Caenorhabditis elegans: one gene and its partners. The protein of the gene in region 2 purifies or fractionates together with the protein of the main gene of each other region. This does not show direct contact. Each region holds a gene or a part of one and is shown on either strand. Other genes may lie near its edges.

Region 1 (4,420 bases), on a different chromosome or scaffold from region 2:
TGTGATGTCCTTTGAACCAGATGGATCAACGAATCCAAAGACCGGAGTGATGCGGTATTCGTTGTTGTTTGAAGACTTGATCTTGAAGATCATCTTCTCAGCTCCAGCATTGACAAGTTTGTGGGTAGAAGCACCTCCAGCAGCTGGAACAGTGCACGCTGGTGGATCGGCCGTCAGAGACATCTTTTTGAAACTTTATGTTAAAGTTGTATAAACTGAATAGCAGTCGTTATCAAGATGAACCAGTGACCTTTCGTGAACTTTTGATTTTAAATATTTTTGTAAATTTAAAAAGGTTTGTTAATATCAACTGTCTGCTCCCTTTTGAAAATATAGTTTTTTAAAAGTTATTTACGCTCTCGAGAAGACGTGGAAGAGGTTAAGGAAAAAATAAAAATATAGAAAAAAAAATATTTTTGTAAATTTAAAAAGGTTTTTTTCCGATGTATATAAGGATTTAAAATAAATAAGTCATTAAATATATTTTCTATAACATGAAAAATTCACCGCTAACTGGCGTCAACTAACAATGACGTGTTCAGTTGGAATGTCACTTTTAAAGGTTCGGAATTACTTGAGTTGTTGACTAATAGACACTAAAGGAGTTACTTTGAGATACGCGATTTTTTTTGTCAAGAAAGGAGTACCCGGTTGCAGCGGATATTCGAAAAATACAATGAACACTTTTTCACGGGAAGACATTTCATAAAAAAATTTCCAGTCTCCAAAAGAAGCAGCCGTAGCGGTAAAGAAGGAAACAGCTGCCACGAAAAAAGCTGAAAAAGCCATAATTGAAGAGCTCTCCGCAGCTGGTGCAAGTCGATTTTAAATGAGAAACTTCAAAAATGTGCGGCGGTTACTGATGGGAAGAACGTTTCATTGGTTGTGTGAATCAATTTTTTGTTATTTTGTTGATTTTTCCCCTTTCTTCACTTTGTTGTTATTGTTGAATTATTGTTGAATTGAATTGAAAAAAAACAATTTAAACAAAATCCCATTATTCAAGATTATCACAATCAAACAGAAAACACCGACTTTCCAGATTCTGTATTCGAAGGTGCATTTGCAGTTGCCATTCCAGCTGTCTTTGGAGTAGTTCGTCCCGATTTTGCACCACCGCCGCCGCTCTTCATGGTCTCCTCCTGAGTTGGCTCCAATTTCCGTTCTTTTGCTGATTTTTTGGATGATTTTTGAGTAGGCATCATTGGACCAGGAGTCCGTTGTTTGCTGCGACGAGGTGTTTCTTGCGGTTTTCGGTCGGGCTTCTTGTCGGACAACGGCATTTCAGAGTTCACCTGGAAGATTTTCAAGATTTTTTCACATATGAATAATAATTGATTCAAACCTTCGATCTTTCCTGGTCTTCTTTACTATTTTGGCTATCGATCGTGTCACAACCTCCATCATCTTTCGATCGGCATGCATCATTGCTTCGGATAATAAAGGCCAAACCAGTCTCTCGCCAATGAACATGGGCGCTGAAATTGAGAATTGCAATTGTAGGTAGATAGGCAGGCACGCATGCCGAGCTCGAATGGTTATCTTAGGCAATTTCTAGGCAATTATTGACAGTATCTTAAACATCTCTCAATACAAAACTAGGGTGAAATCAGAAGGCTTCTGAAAAAAGTGCTGCCTTCCAGGAAAGTTACGCTTTGTAGGCACTAAGCAGGCAGACACTTCTTTCGAGAGGATTATCCGGGAAGTAGCAGGTGGTCGAGGGCAGGTAGCGGGAAATCAGAAAAGAATGTAGGCATGTAGGCAGGCATGTAGGCATGAAGATATATCAGCTTAGGCGTAGGCATTGGCTAAGGCTTAGGCATCTTCGCGTTGAAATCTGTAATTGTGATAAACTAACTCTTTCCATTTTTCGTTTCTCTTATCCAACACGGGAACTCTCAACTCCTTCCTGTACCGTTGTTTCGGATGTTGTGGCAATTGCGCAACCATCTTCTTCATCTCTTCCTTCGTGGTCCCATTCGTTATTCTCCGTGTTTGGATTTCCCACTTTGGGAAGTATTGATTGGTTTTATGACGGAGCGCAGCTTCTTTTGCCGCATTCTCATCATTACATCCACCAGGAAGTGTTGGTGTTAGAAGACGAACATTTGCAAGTGGATCCTCTTGAAGTTCAACTGTTTGGATATCTTGAGTTTTATCGTAGTTTGGCTCAGACACAGGTTGCTGTTGTTGGTCTTCGTTCGATGGTTTCGAGTTTTGTCTGCGCACTTTTCCGCCACAAATTGTCATTAAAATGCTAATCTGAAATGTTAAGTTTAGTTATAATTTTACAGACTTTCTGAAATTATAACGGATTCTTTACACATTCAATTTTCGATGTGCGCATGATGCCAACACATCTACTGTGTAAAAACAATATCTAAAAGGTTTTAAAACTCACCAGAAAAACAGACAGGAATGTCCAATATTGACTTATCAAAATATCGAAGACATCCATGATGATAAACAATAGAAATAATTGAATATTTCTCTTTTTTTTCCTTTTTTATTTAAAGTGAGAGAGGGGGAGGGGAAGATTAAACGTGATAATTAGAAGTGTGACCACGTTTTTTTTGCCAGAATGAAAACCCAAAAGTTTAAAAAAGTGTTTTTACCCGAAATATCGTGTTTACAAATTACCTAATTTTTTAAATTTCAAAAAAAATTAGCTCAACTTCTGCAATTTCAGCAAAAAACGGGAGAGCCTGGGGTGTGGGCACTTTAGCTCTCCTGTTGGCTCCGGATACTTTGCTCAACACTCCACAAATTTTCGATCGCATTCACACAATTGATTACTGCATTCGTGAGCAAAGATTGGATGGTCAGATGCCTCACCTAATCACCTGCCACACTATTTTAAATTGATATCAGATAAGATGAATCACAAAATTTTAAGTATAAAAGCCAACCGGCTCTCAATTATTTATGTGAAAATTATGGAAATTCTACGCAACAACTTTAATTATTCCGCGCGATTATTGGCGACTAGTGCGGCAGGGCCTTCGGTTATGGGATGTGCCCGAAAAAAATGGCTGCTTTGCTTGGAATATGGTTGAAGCCGGCCCACAGTTTCCAAGAGTATTCTGGCCTGCGGTCCTCACACCTGGTTCTTAAGCTTGAGTGAATAACAACCGCTAAATCATGATACCCCAATTAGATGACCATACAGGGCAATGTTTTTGGAACAGAAAGAAGCAACAAAAAAAGCGCAAATTGGTTCACTTAAACTCGTGTTATAAATGCTCAAAAAAAGTGTCAGCAATATTTTGCAATTTTTGTGACAATTTTTTTGAACATTTTGATTTTCAAAAACGACCCTCCTTGGCAAGGTCGAGGGGGTTTGAGTGAGAAAAGGCTGATAGGGTGAACATTTTTTCATATGAACCATTAGTTTTCATCAACGTTAAAGTGCTCTAAAAACAAGAATTAAAAAAAGAAACATTCACGTTCACGTCAGGGCTGTGCGGCAACCGGCAACCGAGTTGCCAGTTGCCGAAATTTTTTGGAATCGGCAACTTCGGCAAGTGCCGGTTGCCGAAAATTTTGGGGTTCGGCAACTTCGGCAATTGCCGAACTTTTTTCGGCAACTTCGGTAACTGCCGATATCAATGTCAAACATTCTGTAGCTCAAAAAAAGCATTCGGAGAGCCTGAAAAATGATAATATTTCGCCGTAAATGAGAAAACGACCATTACTTTTTGCCAAAACGCTCAAAAATATAAAAATCTTTAAAACTTGGTGGCCGGTTGCCGAAAAGTTTCCCGAAATTTCGGTAATCGAAAGTTGCCGGTTGCCGAAAATTTTCGGGTTCGGCAACTTCGGCAATTGCCGGTTGCCGAAAATCCCGGTTGCCGCACAGCCCTGGTTTACGTGACCTATTTACCTTTGATTTCTCTGGAGGGGAGGGGGAGAGTAGGTAAATTTGGGATTCGATGACGGAAAATGTTTCTATGTAATTTTTAACTGTCAAAATACATTAGATGGGTAACAATTATTACAAAAAACAAAATGAGGCGGCGCATTTATCTGTTATACATAGAAACAATCAAATCTGAGAGCTCTTCAGGTTAATTTGTCCTGAGAAGTCTAATTGAATGTATAGTAGTTACAAACAATTTGTTTTTACAGAGTATGAAAAGAGTTCTGCAAGACGAAGTATTCAATGTGAAAAAATCAAAATTGGAGAAGAAAGAAATTAGTGTCAAGTTAGCTTACAAAAAATGTCTTCTAAGACAAAACGAGTTGGATATAGCGAGAGAAGTTCAACGTCTGACTGACCGATTGGGAGCAATGATTATTTTGGAGGACAATGACACAATTCGTACGTTATTTGATTATTACAACATGAACAACAAACGTTTTCAGCCGAATTCAATGCACACATAACATTCAAAGGAGATCTTGGGCGCGTTACCGCAGC
Region 2 (4,942 bases):
AAACAATTTCGGAGACTTTCAACTTTCAACATTTGATGATATTGATCAGGACTAATCATTTCATTTTTTTCAAATATATGTTTCTTACTATTCTCTAGGTCTTTCAGGTAGGCATGCCTACCTGATAGCCTCACCTCTACCTGAATCTCTATGTTTCTCCTCAAAATCCTCACCGATTCTAAAAACGGGTCTCTCAAAAAAGTACCAATATATTTTTGCTCAACTTGTTGCCTTCCCTTTTTTGTATCCCGGTATACTTTATTGTTATGCAATACTTAATTGTTCTCTGCGATACGCGGTGCTAATTAGTTTTCAAAATGAATATTTTTCAAATTTGGCCCTCAAACCACACAAACATAAAGTCGCCGACAAAAGGCCAGGGAGAAGAGGTGGAAAAGAAACATGAGTCAGTGTCAGGGTCACTTTTTGAATTTAAAACTGAGACGGAAGAGGAAACGGAGATGAACTGCCACTAGTTGAAATGGATAGCTTTTTGAACTTTTTTCGACAGGTGACAACGGAGTTCTGAGCATTATTTAGATGAAGTAAGACGTCCATGGTTCCTGATGCCTACCTGCCTGCTTAATAATTTTCTGCCCACTTTCCAACCGCCTATATGACTGCAATTTGATGAGAAATCTAGAGGGATTACCAACAGAAAAGTAGCAAAATAGCATGAGAGGAGCATTTTGAACAGCAAAAGTAGACGCCTGAAGCTACCTAAACTTGACTTTTGCTTACAAAAAACTTGCGAGGCAGGCGGCAGGTAGGCATCAAGCAAGCAGATAAGTTACTTCAATTTGAAATATGACTTCTGATCATAATTTCAACAGATTTTATCTCAGCTCTCTTTGAAGTAGTTTTAAAATTGTAAATTAAAAATTCGAATTATGTATGTAGATTATTTCCTTTTTTAACCAGTTAAAATATTATTACCAATAAGAACTGTAAGTTGAATTTAATGATCATATCAAAAACCATTCTAAAAAAAATTCCCGTTTTTCTGAAACGAGATGACCAAAAGCCGGCAATTTTTACAGTTTTACATGTTTATTGCCCTCTTGACTCACCTTTAATTGTTCTGAAAACATATTGTTTACGATTTGAGAAAGGGTGTCGTCAGTCTGTTTATGAAAGTGTTAAAAAATCTGATCTACTATTTTGTTTTGAAATTTTTGTAGAATATTAGCAGATTTTTTTCATGTTTTTGTAATAATTGTAAAATATGTTTTCAATAAGTTTTTGGAATTTTGATAAAAATGAAGTTGAGAATTTGAGTTTCTTGTAATTTTTTTAATCTAAAAATAATTTTTGAAATTTTTTGAGTAAAAAACATTTTTTTAACATTAAAAAAATTTTTGAAACGAATATCTCAGTTAGAAAAATTTTCCCCTTTTTTCTAATCTGCTCAACTTTATAAGCTTATATCTCGGCTGTTTTTGAAGATATTAAAAAATTTTCAACTATTGAAATATAGATAACAACTAGATGCGTAAATTGGCTGTTGAAAATTTTTTTGGTAAAACTAAAGATTACAGAGATACAGATTGCTGAAACTGGAGTATTTCAAAAGTCCTATAGAGTTCAGAGTTCAAATTGTTTTTTCTTTTCATATCACAATATCACTATACATCACTTCGCATATTACTCACCATCCTTTTGAAATTTCATCAGTTCTCAGTCTCAGTGCAGTTCAAACACTTTTATTGTCCTCCGCGCTCAGCGACCACCTATCCCCCAAAAAATTCAAAAGAACACAAACACTCTTTTTCTCTGCCAATCTCTTGTTTACCCGATATTTTTTGTTTTTCGTTTTGTCCTTCGGCATTTCATTTTCCAATCTCTTGTTTCTCTTACTCTCTCGTCTGTTTGTCCACAAGTTAGCCCGCCTCTTTCCAGGTCGGCCTCTGACTTGAAAGTTAGTCTTCATTGCTGTTGACACGCTATATCGACTGCTATCCAAAAATGGTAAGTCTAGAAAATATTGAAATTTTTTGAACTAGATGTCAGATTTATCTAAAAAAAAGTATTCATAAAATTTATAACTTGTAAAACATATTCAACCGTTATTGTTGTAGTTAAAAGTTTTAATATCTAATTTGGATTTTGAAATTTAACATTCAACGATTTAAAATAATTTTCACAAAAAATAAAACGCTCCTTTTAGAGCTCTCACGAGAACGACACCCCTCTCCCAGTTCCGTACACGTCTCGTCTCGGACAACCACTCGACGCTGGACAGACATTGAATGTTCACGGAAAGATCAACGAGGGAGCACAGGTGTAAGTTCAGGGGGTTTTCCTATTAGCTGACTAGGTGCCTACCTACGTGCCTACATTTTTTCTGTCTGGTGCCTGGAGGCAGGCAATAAAAAGCACTGAATGTATCATATTTTAGGTGAACTTTTGAAACAAGCCATATTTCAGAGCCGAGATCAATCTTCTCCAGGGAGGTGGTGAAATTGGACCAAACACCCAAGTGATCCTCCACTTGAAGCTCAATTTTAAGGAAAAGAAAGTTATTCTCAACTCTTACGAGGTACATTTTACTAGAAATATATAACTTTAATCCCGTGATTTTCAGAATGGAGTGTGGGGAAAAGAAGAGCGCGAGTCTCTTCCATTCCAAGCTGGACAAGAATTCGATCTTCGCATCCGAGTTCTCGACGAAGGCCTTGAAATCTCGGCTGACAACAAGAAGATCCACGAGTTCAAACATCGTCTTCCATTCCAATCCATTGAATATCTTTCTGTTCGTGGTGACCTTTCCTTGAATGGAATTCATTGGGGTGGAAGATTCTATAAACTTCCATGGGAGACCGCATTCCCAGCTGGATTTCTTGAAAAGGGACAACGTGTTCATTTGTATGGTATTCCAAAGGGTGATCGTTGGTCACTTGATTTGGTCGCTCGTAATCAGGATATTTTGTTCCATTTCAATCCAAGAATCAAGGATAAGGCGGTGAGTTTTGGCACTCGGGAAGTGTCGGCTGCTCAAGTTTTTTGCATTTTGATTTTGCGCGTTTTTTCTCTTCAAAATCGAAAATTCGAGATTTAAACAATTTATTGAAACAGTTGTTTTTTAGTTTTTGAAAACAATTCTGATAAGTTTGGTACTCTCAGTGTCTTAATTGTTTTGCATTAATAAATGTTTAAAAAATTATTTTTGCAAATCGAAAAAAACTGAGATTTCCGATAATATTCTGATTTTAGTAGTTTAAAAAAATTACAAAAACACAAGTTCTCCTTTACGATTTTCAATTTTCGACTAATAATTGGTGTTTCTGAAAGAAAATAAAAATAGAAAAATTCGAAACAGTAAAAAAAAAATATTTTTTACAATAAAGAAACTTTAAAAAATTTGATTTAACTTTTCCCTATAATCAAAAAAATTAGGTCCCTCTCCCTCTACGTGTTCCCCACATAATTATCATTTTGAATTCACCATGTTTTTCTTCTAGGTCGTCCGTAACTCTCACCGTAATGGATTCTGGGACACCGAGGAACGTGAAGGTGGATTCCCATTCAAGAAGGACGTCGGATTCGATTTGACCATTGTCAACGAAGAATATTCCATTCAAATCTTCATCAATCGCGAACGCTTCGGAACTTTCCAGCACCGTACCCAGAATCCAATTGGTGACTACATTGGACTCAGAATTGATGGAGAGGTTGAGGTCACTGGTATTGAGTTTTCGCATTAAATTTCGCGTTTTCTGGGAAATAATTGCATAATGTATAACAATTAATATGTAAATTAAATAATCTTCTTGCTTTTTTAAAAATAAATTCGAATTGATTTTTATTTGTATGTATTAACATTACTTATATATTGAAAAATTCAGTTCGTCTGTCCATAGTTTGTAGTCTATGTAGTCTTTGTAGTCTGCAAAGTTTTGAAGGGATATTGGTTAAGGGTTAGGGGGGAGATATGGTCAGGGTACTGTAGTAGTACTGTAGGAACAGGGAGCTGTAGTACTGTAGAAGTACTGTATGAATGCTGTAGGAGTATTGTAGTTTGGAAAAAAATTGAGTTATTTATATGCCTGAAATTGGGTTTTTTTGATTGAACTGGAAGCTCCTGGCATCTAGAAAATTTTTTTAATTAAATTCTGAAAGCGCTTACAATTTGAAACAAGTCCCCGACGAAACAGTTTCAAAAAAGTTCATTTTAAGGCAGATACTAATTTTCAAAGTTATTAAAATTAACAAAATCACCCAATAAAAAATGTGGTGACAACTTCGAGACAATGTGTTGTTTAGCGTAAAATACAAAAAAAGTCGTGCGTTGAATGAGAATAAAAAAGCGTTTTGTGCGTTTGGCACAGTACCAGCTCCCCTTTTCGTATCTCACCTTTTCGCAGATCCCCTTTTTGCAGATCCCCTTTTCGTTCTGCTCCCCTTTTCGTGGGGCCTCATCTATTTTTTCGTCTGTCAATCTATTTTTTCGTCTGTCAATCTATTTTTTCGTCTGTCAATCTATTTTTTCGTCTGTCAATCTATTTTTCGTCTGCCAATCTATTTTTTCGTCTGTCAATCTATTTTTAGTCTGTCAATCTATTTTTCGTCTGTCAATCTATTTTTAGTCTGTCAATCTATTTTTCGTCTGTCAATCTATTTTTCGTCTGTCAATCTATTTTTCGTCTGTCAATCTATTTTTCGTCTGTCAATCTATTTTTTCGTCTGTCAATCTATTTTTTCGTCTGTCAATCTATTTTTCGTCTGTCAATCTATTTTTTGTCTGTCAAGTCGTATATTAATTTTTAATTTTTAAAAATTATCAAGATCACCCAATAAAAAATGTGGTTATTTATATGCCTGTAGGTCAGTTTTTTTATTGAACTGGAAGCTTCTGGGAAATAGAACAATTTTGTGATTAAATTCTGAAAGCACTTAAAACTTGAAAAAATCTTTTATTTAAATACTAGTACTGGTACGAACA
Region 3 (5,277 bases), on a different chromosome or scaffold from region 2:
CGAAATCTCGAAGATTTCGATTGGAATTGCGGACGGAAATCCTGAAACTCATTTGGTTTTTTTTTAACATTTGCCTAACATTCAAAATTTGATACCAATCGTATGGATCCACTTTCTTCATAACTTTCTCCATAACATCAACTGGCATGCTTAAAAGCGTAAGTGGTCTTTTCTTCGATCTGAAAATAAGCAAATTTTAAACTGAATCCGATGCAAATTTCATTTTAACACTAACAATTTAATCGATCCAGTTTCTTTGTCATTTCGACAATTCCACGAGATGAGCCAGTCATTTTGACAAATTACCTGAAAAATAGGAAATTTATTTGATTGATTCAGTTTTCAATCGTTTGAAGTGAAGAAAACAATAAGAAAATACGGATAAAGTGAAATATCTTTGTAAAATACGTTACCTAACGGTAAAATAACAAATTTTCCAGTAAATTTCGTGAAAACTGAAAATTTCTTTTCTGTCTAATAAATTTTCACAAATAAAAATCACAAAAACGACAGGAAAAATGCAAAAACTATGTTTGAAATTTTGAAAATCCAAAAACAATAAACTAGGAATTCTGTGCGTCAAATGAGATGCCCGGTACGCAAGTTGCGTACTCCGAGAACTACCGTAGTTTCGGAAACTTTTTTTGAAACGGCTAATTTTAACTTATTTTATTTTCAGAATATAATGAAAAAAAAACAATTTGCATGCAAAGTAGCAAATAGAATTTGAAATAAAACGTTTATTTTCGTAAAATTTCTTAAATTTGCAGTGAAAATCCAAAAAATGAGGAAAAATCTCACTCTCAACTTTGCGCGTAAAATATAGCGCCCTGTACGCACACCATGTACTCAGAAAATGACTACCGTAGTCATTGCATCTTAAAATAATGTTTAATGAACCGAAAACAACACAAAAGAATTTAGTTATGCGGAAATTCAATGAACATTTTGTCAAAAAAAAATAGGGGAAATCAACAGTGAAAAAGTAAAAAAGAAGACTACAATAACTACAAACTACAAACCAATAACGAGAAATGAAGAGATGATCAAGTGAGAAAAGTGAATAAAAATACTGCATTTGAAACGGAAACGATGTAGTTTGTAGTGTCAAAAGGCTACAAACTACACAAAACTAGTCTAGACAGCACCAAAATAGCTGGTTGAGAAATGATTTGGATAGAGAGATGTGATATCGGAGGCGACGACAGTGATATACGGGTACTTTCTGGTTATATTCTTGAGTCCAGTCGGTGAGATGAATAGGGAAACCAAGTAGATATTCTCATCTGGGACACGTGCCTCTTTTAGGACTTCAATTGCCTTGCAAACTGTCGTCCCAGATCTGAAAAATTGGAAATTTTGATAAAAATGTGATTTTTTAAATTTAAATGTTTCTTCAGTTAAAAAAATTTCAAAAAAAGATTTTTTTTGCACAAAAAAAAACTCAATTTTTTAGACAATTTTTCGCCTTCTGGGGAAGTTTTAGTGATCGACATTTTTAAAGTTTCTACGTCAAACAAATTATTGAATTTTACGATTTTTCGCCGGGAAAATCGATTTTTTGACATTAAATTTTGTGTTTTTTTTCTCAGATTTTTCAATCAAATTTATTTCGGCCAGATATTTTTTGTAGTTTGTAGTCTCTGAGCGTACCCTATCGTTGGGTAGAGCAGTAGAACTCGACGCGACGTGATATCCGGAAGAAGCCTGGCGTAGAGCACTTTTTGTTCGTCGCCTGTAACAAAAAGTGGATGAAAATTGGAAATTTTGCGAGTTTTGAGGTTTTTCTTTTAAAAAAGTATCGCCAGTTTTCGACAAACTCAGTAAAACTCACGATTTCTACCACTTTTCTGGGTAAAAACGCAAATTTTACTATTATATATATTTTTAATATATTTTTCAGGAATTTTACCATAAGAACAGTACATATTTATTACAGATTTAAAAAAAAAAACATTTTTCGGCTGAAAAAACGAGTTTCTCTACGAATTAGAGGTATTTTTGAAGGAAAAGTCAGACTTTTCACAGATTTTGAGGGGTATTCAGGAGAAAATCTATAAAAACTGGATATTCACCAGATTTTTCCATTTTTCAAGCAGAAATCTGCATTTATAAGAGATTCCAGGTAATTTCAGGGAGAAATTGATGAAAATCGCAATGATTTTGGTGATTTTTCGCCATTTTCTTCTATATTTCTCAATTTTCTTCGCCTTTTCTAGGAAATTTCCCAAATTCCTCTCGATATCCTCAATTTCCCGTACCAATCAGAATTTTTCCAATTCGAATACACCGACAACACTGTCTCAATGAAACTTCCATCGCCTCTCCACTTCTACACAACGATACTCCACAATTTCCACGATTAAATTGAATTCCTTCATATTTGAAGCCTGTTGGTGTGGTAACTGTGTGCTCAGTGAATGGAAGATGATTGAGACATTCTTCAATTACAAGCCGCATCAGACGATCCGCGTTGAATACGAAATCCGAGTGATTTGTTGATCTGGAAATTGGAAGATGGTTGAGGCTATGGGGCTACAAACTACAAACTACAAGATTCTCTGAGCCTCAACCAATTTTTACAAGGAAAACTTCTAAAATTGCGAGGAAATCACGAAAAATACCGTTTCGGACCCGGAAATTTATGAAAATATCGGAATTTTGACTCAAAATCCGAGAAAATCCTTGAAAAATTCATTTATATAAATAAATATATTCATGTTTTCTAACAAAAAAAAACGTTTTTTAATCAAAATTTCAGTTAATTTCACGGCAAAAAGGCCAAAAAATGAAAACGTTTTCTATTTTTCTCCTAATTTACTGGCAAAATCGCTTAAAATGCCGTTTCTGACCCGAAAATTTGTGAATTAACGGATTTTTAAAATCTAAATTCCAAGAAAATCGCTTTTTAAGGCAAAAAAGGAGTTTATTTAAAATCAACAAGTTTTTCCGGCAAAAATACCGAAAATCGTTAATTTTTCCGCAAAATCTGGAAAAAGAGCTTGGAAATATGAGTTTTCAGCCCCTTTCTTTAAATTTTCACCCATAAAATGTTTGAGGCTTCAGTCTATTCCCAGTCAAACTTCATACCTATCTTTCAAAATTGTCTGCAATTCAAGTATCTGTGGAGTCTTCTTCAAAAGAACAAAATTTGTTCCCTTCTCTTTCAGATTTGCCACCAACTGCCCGACACCGTCTTCCTCATCACCAACCTTTGGAATCACTGGAGCACATGTTCCATTCACATGCCCAGCCATTTCTGTAATCTAATACTGATCGATGAGCAGAACAAGCGTCTGCTGCTCAAATACTGTCGGCTTGTACATGTTTGCTCTGCGGCACTCAACTCGGTATAAACGTAAAGTGTTCCGACTTTCATTCTTTCTCTTTTTAACAAAAAACATTATATAAATAAAATACTTCATAATACATTGTTTATGACGATCGAACTGCAGTAATAAATTAAAAGTCAATCGCCAGGCAGTTGATTGTGGGAGCATCTAGTACTCCTCTCCCTCCTCTTCTCCTCCCTCGTTGGAGTCAGCTCCGACCTCTTCGTAGTCCTTCTCGAGAGCAGCCAAGTCCTCACGAGCCTCGGTGAACTCTCCTTCCTCCATACCTTCTCCGACGTACCTGAAAAGAAACACATTGAATATTTGAAAAGTATAGTTTAACGGGCAACATACCAGTGGACGAAGGCACGCTTGGCGTACATCAAGTCGAACTTGTAGTCGAGACGAGACCAGGCCTCAGCGATGGCGGTAGTGTTGGAGAGCATGCAGACGGCGCGTGGCACCTTGGCAAGATCACCTCCTGGCACAACAGTTGGTGGCTGGTAGTTGATTCCGACCTTGAATCCGGTTGGGCACCAATCGACGAATTGGATGGTTCTCTTGGTCTTGATTGCAGCGATGGCGGTGTTAACGTCCTTTGGAACGACGTCTCCTCTGTACAAGAGGCACACAGCCATGTACTTTCCGTGACGTGGATCACACTTGACCATCTGGTTAGCCGGCTCGAAGCAGCTATTGGTGATGTCGCTGACGGACAGAGCCTCGTGGTAGGCCTTCTCAGCAGAGATGAGTGGAGTGTAGGCGGCCAATGGGAAGTGAATTCTTGGGTATGGCACCAAGTTGGTCTGGAACTCGTTGAGATCAACGTTGAGGGCTCCATCGAATCTCAAGGAAGCAGTGATTGAGGAGACAACCTGTAAAAAGAGAACATTAGAATACAACAATCAAATTGAGCTCAACAAACCTGGGAGATGATTCTGTTGAGGTTGGTGTAGCTTGGTCGCTCAACATCCAAGTTTCTGCGGCAGATGTCGTAGATGGCCTCGTTATCGACCATGAAGGCGCAGTCGGAGTGCTCCAAGGTGGTATGGGTGGTGAGGATCGAGTTGTATGGCTCAACGACGGCGGTTGAGACCTGTGGAGCTGGGTAGATGGAGAACTCGAGCTTGGACTTCTTTCCGTAGTCGACGGAAAGACGTTCCATAAGAAGCGAAGTGAATCCGGATCCGGTACCTCCTCCGAAGGAGTGGAAGACGAAGAATCCTTGGAGTCCACTGCAGTTATCAGCGAGACGACGGATCCTGTCGAGGACGGTGTCGATGAGCTCCTTTCCGACGGTGTAGTGTCCACGAGCGTAGTTGTTAGCGGCGTCTTCCTTTCCGGTGATCATCTGCTCTGGATGGAAGAGCTTCTTGTAGGTTCCAGTGCGAATCTCGTCAACGACAGTTGGCTCGAGATCGACGAAGATGGATCTTGGAACGTAACGGCCGGATCCGGTGTCTGAGAAGAAAGTGGTGAACGACTCTCCCTCGTTCGTTGATTGAGTTGGCATGGTTCCATCGGGCTGGATTCCGTGCTCGAGGCAGTAGAGCTCCCAGCAGGCGTTTCCGATTTGGACTCCGGCTTGTCCGACGTGGATAGAGATGACCTCACGCATTTTCTTTTCTGAAAAAGAAAATTATAAAGTTTTAAAAGAGAAAGACAATTGTTATATGAGAACGAAACGATTGCGGTGAGAGCAGAGACGAAAGTGAGCCCAAATAGGGCCGAGAACGCACGAGCGCGCGCGCTCTCTCAACATAGCCCAACATCGGACACCGCGGTGGACAAGTCATCGATTGCAAAAAAATGATGACGAAATAGCGGGGCGCCAGTGGAGAGCGGATTGAAATGAGTGCAAAGGAGTGGACTGCAAGGGAGCCAAAACCCCGTTGTAAGAGACCCAGAGAATAACAATGGGAATTTCGCAATTCCCAATGGGATT
Region 4 (3,875 bases), on a different chromosome or scaffold from region 2:
GTCCTAAAAAGCATCCTTATGTTTCAGCGTGCAAGCCGCAAATCAAAAATTCGACATTGATCTCATTAGACACTTTCCTTGCAAATCAATCAATAGTTTTTGAAATTTCGATGGCCGTCGGTGAGCGGGGCTATCCGTTTCCCTTTCTCTCTCTTGAATGTTTTCGTCGCGTCAGTGGAACCTGCAGATAAAGCAAATGAGAGAAAAAGACATAGAGCAAACGACAGCTTTACACTATGATTGTCGAGTTCTGCCCCGGGGATAGGCTCTCCTCTGCCACAGCGACTCCTCTCCCGCCCTTCATCTATCTGCGGTACTTCATTCCCCCGTACACTGTTCCAATCGGCGCGCGCTCTCTTCAGGATCAACACACTGTTCTCACACACACACACACGGGAGGCAAGGAGACAAACTGGTGTCTTACGGCTATTGAGCGGCAATTCAGTCTTAGTCTCACATTTTATGTCCAACAGAGGCTCAGCGAGCAACGAACCCCACGCAAATATCTTCCGATCTCTTTGCGTCCCGGTTTTGAAACGAACGTTTATTGAAACTTTTTGAAAGTTAGATTTCTCACTTTTTGTTAATTTTTTCGAATTGTTTTTATTTATGACGTCTTCCCCATATTGCCGTATTTTCTGAAAATATCAAAAAGTGGTAAATTGCAAAACTGACCAAAAATGAAAATTTTGTTAAGAAATAATTTACCTGCTGTGGCTCTAAAGTCTTTTATATATGTTTTTTTCGAATACTACATTTAATGTAACAAAACTGGTGTGCGTGTACGTGAAAATCTTGAAATTTAGTAGGCATCCACTTTGAGGATAATTTTCTGAGGAAATGCCAAAAATCAGCACCCCAAATGATATCATGGCCGGACATCTACCGGGATTCGGTCTTGCAATAAGCTAACTCACTACTGATGGAAGCACAATGCGGAGCGTAACCCGGTAGATGTCGAGTCATGATAACACTTCTGGTCCCGGTTTTTACAGTATTCCTAAAAGTAACTATCCAATTGTGGGTATTTCAAATTTAAGGATAAAAATACTGGGCCTATTCTTTCTATCTTTTTTTGAATCTCAGACAGGTTTTAGATTTGAGACCTTTCTAGTTAACCTCAATAATTAAATTCTCCAGTACTGGTAACAAGAAATCTCAAGGTTTTTTATTTGCTCTGTAATTCTTGGCTCAAACTCAAACTTTCACTGATTTCAATATTGATGTTAAGCACCTGGTCGTATTAATTTAATGTTGCTATAATGCTTTGTAAAAGTTGAGAAATTTGAAGGTGGCACAAATTTGTAGAAAATTTTACGTCATTTTCTAAAACAAAACTGCTATAAAAATAACTGCCGCTTTCCATCTAAAAGTATCCGCTGAAAATTCTAATAATATTTTATAGACATCGAATTACCTAACAACGAATTATAAAAAAAATTTTGTTGTAAAACCAAGTTTTAGCTTCTATAAAACCAAGTTTTAGCTTCTCCTAAGCAGGTAGTTAGACCTGATTTCATAATCGTTTACCAGACATGCGATCAGATATCTAATCAACATGTGTTCATTACTCATCTCTCCAAACTGCTATTTCAAAATAATTTCTTCATGATTTTTTGGAAAACGTCAGAAACCAAGCGTCATCTGTTTCCATATCTCTCTCTCTTTCTCCCACGCACTGCACAATTGTGCCCCGTTTTCCACGTTTTGAGCTTCTAGACTTTCACTTTTACTTTCAAAGTTTTCAGCACACACAAAACGAAAACATGTCGTGGTCTGATATTATCAACAATAACCTTATCGGGTCTGGAAATGTGAGCAAGGCTGCCATTCTTGGATTCGACGGAGCTGTATGGGCAAAGAGTGATAACTTTAATGTAAGTTTTCAAAGTTTTTAAAATTGTCAAGTTGCCAAAATCTCGACTTTCAGTGGCATGATCAGCTTGTGATTGGTGTTAGAACTTTTTTGAGATATTAAAACTGGAAAGGACTTGCAATTTTCTTAGGCTAGAATTCTAGGTATTTCTCTAGGAATGCAACTCCTGGTCGATACACCACCTCTCTTTGAATCTCATCTCTGATCTAAAAACACTGTAAACTTCTATCAAAATCTATATTTTGTCTGCACCAGTTTTGAAAGATTAGTACATGGTGCATTGACAGATAATGAACAAATACCGCCTGCGTGAGTTTTGTTACTGAAAGCATATTTAGCTTGTTATAAAAATAGTCTTCATGTAGGAAAGGTGTGTTGGTGTACTGTAGAAGTACTTTAGTGTTACTATTGTTCAAAAATACGTTTTATCTATTGAAGGAATCGTCGGTGAAGATGGTGTAGGAATATTGTAGTGTAGGATTATTTTAGTCCTAAAAATAAGGTTTCGTTATTTTTTGGAAAACATAAGTTGAGGCTAGAGTCGGGGCACTGAGCACTGTAGTAGATCAAGCAGTACAATTTGAATAGTAACGTATTTCCAGATCTCCGTCGAAGAAGCCGTCGCCGCAGGAAAAGCCTTCACCTCCTTGGTACCTTTTGCTTCTCTTAATATCATTCTCACCCTCTAATTTTCAGGATGCTCTTCTTGGAACCGGCCTCCGCTTGGAAGGACAAAAATTCTTGGTCCTCAACGCAGATAATGACAGAATAATTGGAAAGCAAGGAGGATCTGGATTTTTCATCTACAAAACTATCCAAGGTGAACTAACTAGGATTACTAGACTGATTTAAACAATCTCTGAAACTTTTAGCCGTTATTATTTCCATCTACGAGAAAGGACTCCAACCAGAAATGTGCAGCAAGACCACCGGAGCCCTGGCCGATTACTTCAGGTCCATCAAGTACTGATCACAATTCCCGAAGCCTCCTGCCGATTTGCCATCCATGTTTGCATTTTTTTTTTTGTATTTTTTCATTTCGTTTCTTTTTTATATAAATAAATAATGAAATAAATATTTATCTTTCTCAAAATTCAAAAAAATAGCAACTCGAAATAAATAATATGAGGTGAAAAGCAAAATAAAGCGGGTGGTTTGATTTCCGAACAAAAAAAGTCAAGAGTGATATGGAAAATAAATTTGGGAAGATGTCATATTATACAGTTTTTGAATTGGGTCCGTGTAGCTTGAAGTTTCCGAAGTCTCCACCTCGTCAGCGTCCAGGTCTGAATTTTTTTTTTGATAAGAACAATTGTTTGAATTCTAGAAGTCTATAGTTTTAGCCCTTTTGGTTCAGCTATCCGGGACTGACCAACTGAACAATTATGTAAAAGTATAGTGAAGCTTAGGCCGATCTTGCTGCAAATTTCGAGTTGGGCCTGCATCGCCCGACACCTCACCGGTTATACAAATCTATAGGAATTCACCTGGCATGGTTAGCCGACACAAGCACGGACCGTATCGGCTAGCCGTACCATGTGTACTACGCGTGAAGCCTTCTTGAATTTGATTGTTTTAAGGTTCGCAATTTTGCCGGGCTCGGGAACCCTCATATTCCCAAAACGTGGATCAATCTATTTTACACCGGATTGCTAGTCAAGAAAAGATTGACCAATTTAACCGGACTAACATAAGTGTTTTCGGCGTGCAAAGATTAGAGCTCTGACCGGGCTTCTCAAAATTGCCGATTGTTAGAAACTTTCAGCATCACCTGTGGTCTAACTAGGTATTCGAGAATAGACAAAAATGGTGTAGTTTAGACTGATATACACCAGGCGTGTGTAATGTTTCTTTTGTACCTATAGCTCTCGATACATTACGGAACAAACTTTCTAACTTTTTGAAAAACTGATTTCAATTTGTAAAGCCACAACTCGCCAATATCTATACCTATTCTCTTCAACTTACTTATCACAGACTCTTCCTCATCATCAGAGCT

Evidence for each region.
Region 1: the proteins of lec-4 (region 2) and F44D12.6 fractionate together in Caenorhabditis elegans (co-fractionation; one large-scale study listed by BioGRID). This does not show direct contact.
Region 3: the proteins of lec-4 (region 2) and C47B2.2 fractionate together in Caenorhabditis elegans (co-fractionation; one large-scale study listed by BioGRID). This does not show direct contact.
Region 4: the proteins of lec-4 (region 2) and pfn-3 fractionate together in Caenorhabditis elegans (co-fractionation; one large-scale study listed by BioGRID). This does not show direct contact.

What each region holds. Positions count from the first base shown.
Region 1 is NC_003282.8:10,031,401-10,035,820, reverse strand, and holds F44D12.6 (CDI domain-containing protein), read right to left. Parts: upstream 2,469-4,420; 5' UTR 2,459-2,468; coding exon 2,402-2,458; intron 2,263-2,401; coding exon 1,859-2,262; intron 1,479-1,858; coding exon 1,346-1,478; intron 1,296-1,345; coding exon 1,017-1,295; 3' UTR 941-1,016; downstream 1-940. Other genes in the region: msd-3 (MSP domain-containing protein), read right to left, coding at 1-183.
Region 2 is NC_003281.10:3,770,284-3,775,225, reverse strand, and holds lec-4 (Galectin), read left to right. Parts: upstream 1-1,899; 5' UTR 1,900-1,965; coding exon 1,966-1,968; intron 1,969-2,167; coding exon 2,168-2,283; intron 2,284-2,427; coding exon 2,428-2,539; intron 2,540-2,584; coding exon 2,585-2,962; intron 2,963-3,461; coding exon 3,462-3,704; 3' UTR 3,705-3,801; downstream 3,802-4,942. Other genes in the region: acy-3 (adenylate cyclase), read left to right, coding at 1-55.
Region 3 is NC_003279.8:12,961,314-12,966,590, forward strand, and holds C47B2.2 (Phosphoribosyltransferase domain-containing protein), read right to left. Parts: upstream 3,267-5,277; 5' UTR 3,258-3,266; coding exon 3,091-3,257; intron 2,504-3,090; coding exon 2,262-2,503; intron 1,736-2,261; coding exon 1,654-1,735; intron 1,343-1,653; coding exon 1,138-1,342; 3' UTR 729-1,137; downstream 1-728. Other genes in the region: fbxa-140 (F-box domain-containing protein), read right to left, coding at 1-41, 96-148; tba-2 (Tubulin alpha-2 chain), read right to left, coding at 3,501-3,633, 3,687-4,207, 4,258-4,950.
Region 4 is NC_003284.9:1,078,517-1,082,391, reverse strand, and holds pfn-3 (Profilin-3), read left to right. Parts: upstream 1-1,742; 5' UTR 1,743-1,766; coding exon 1,767-1,877; intron 1,878-2,478; coding exon 2,479-2,526; intron 2,527-2,572; coding exon 2,573-2,696; intron 2,697-2,748; coding exon 2,749-2,846; 3' UTR 2,847-2,962; downstream 2,963-3,875. Other genes in the region: LIM/homeobox protein lim-6, read right to left, coding at 3,053-3,162, 3,845-3,875. UniProt on the Caenorhabditis elegans protein: Binds to actin and affects the structure of the cytoskeleton. At high concentrations, profilin prevents the polymerization of actin, whereas it enhances it at low concentrations. By binding to PIP2, it inhibits the formation of IP3 and DG.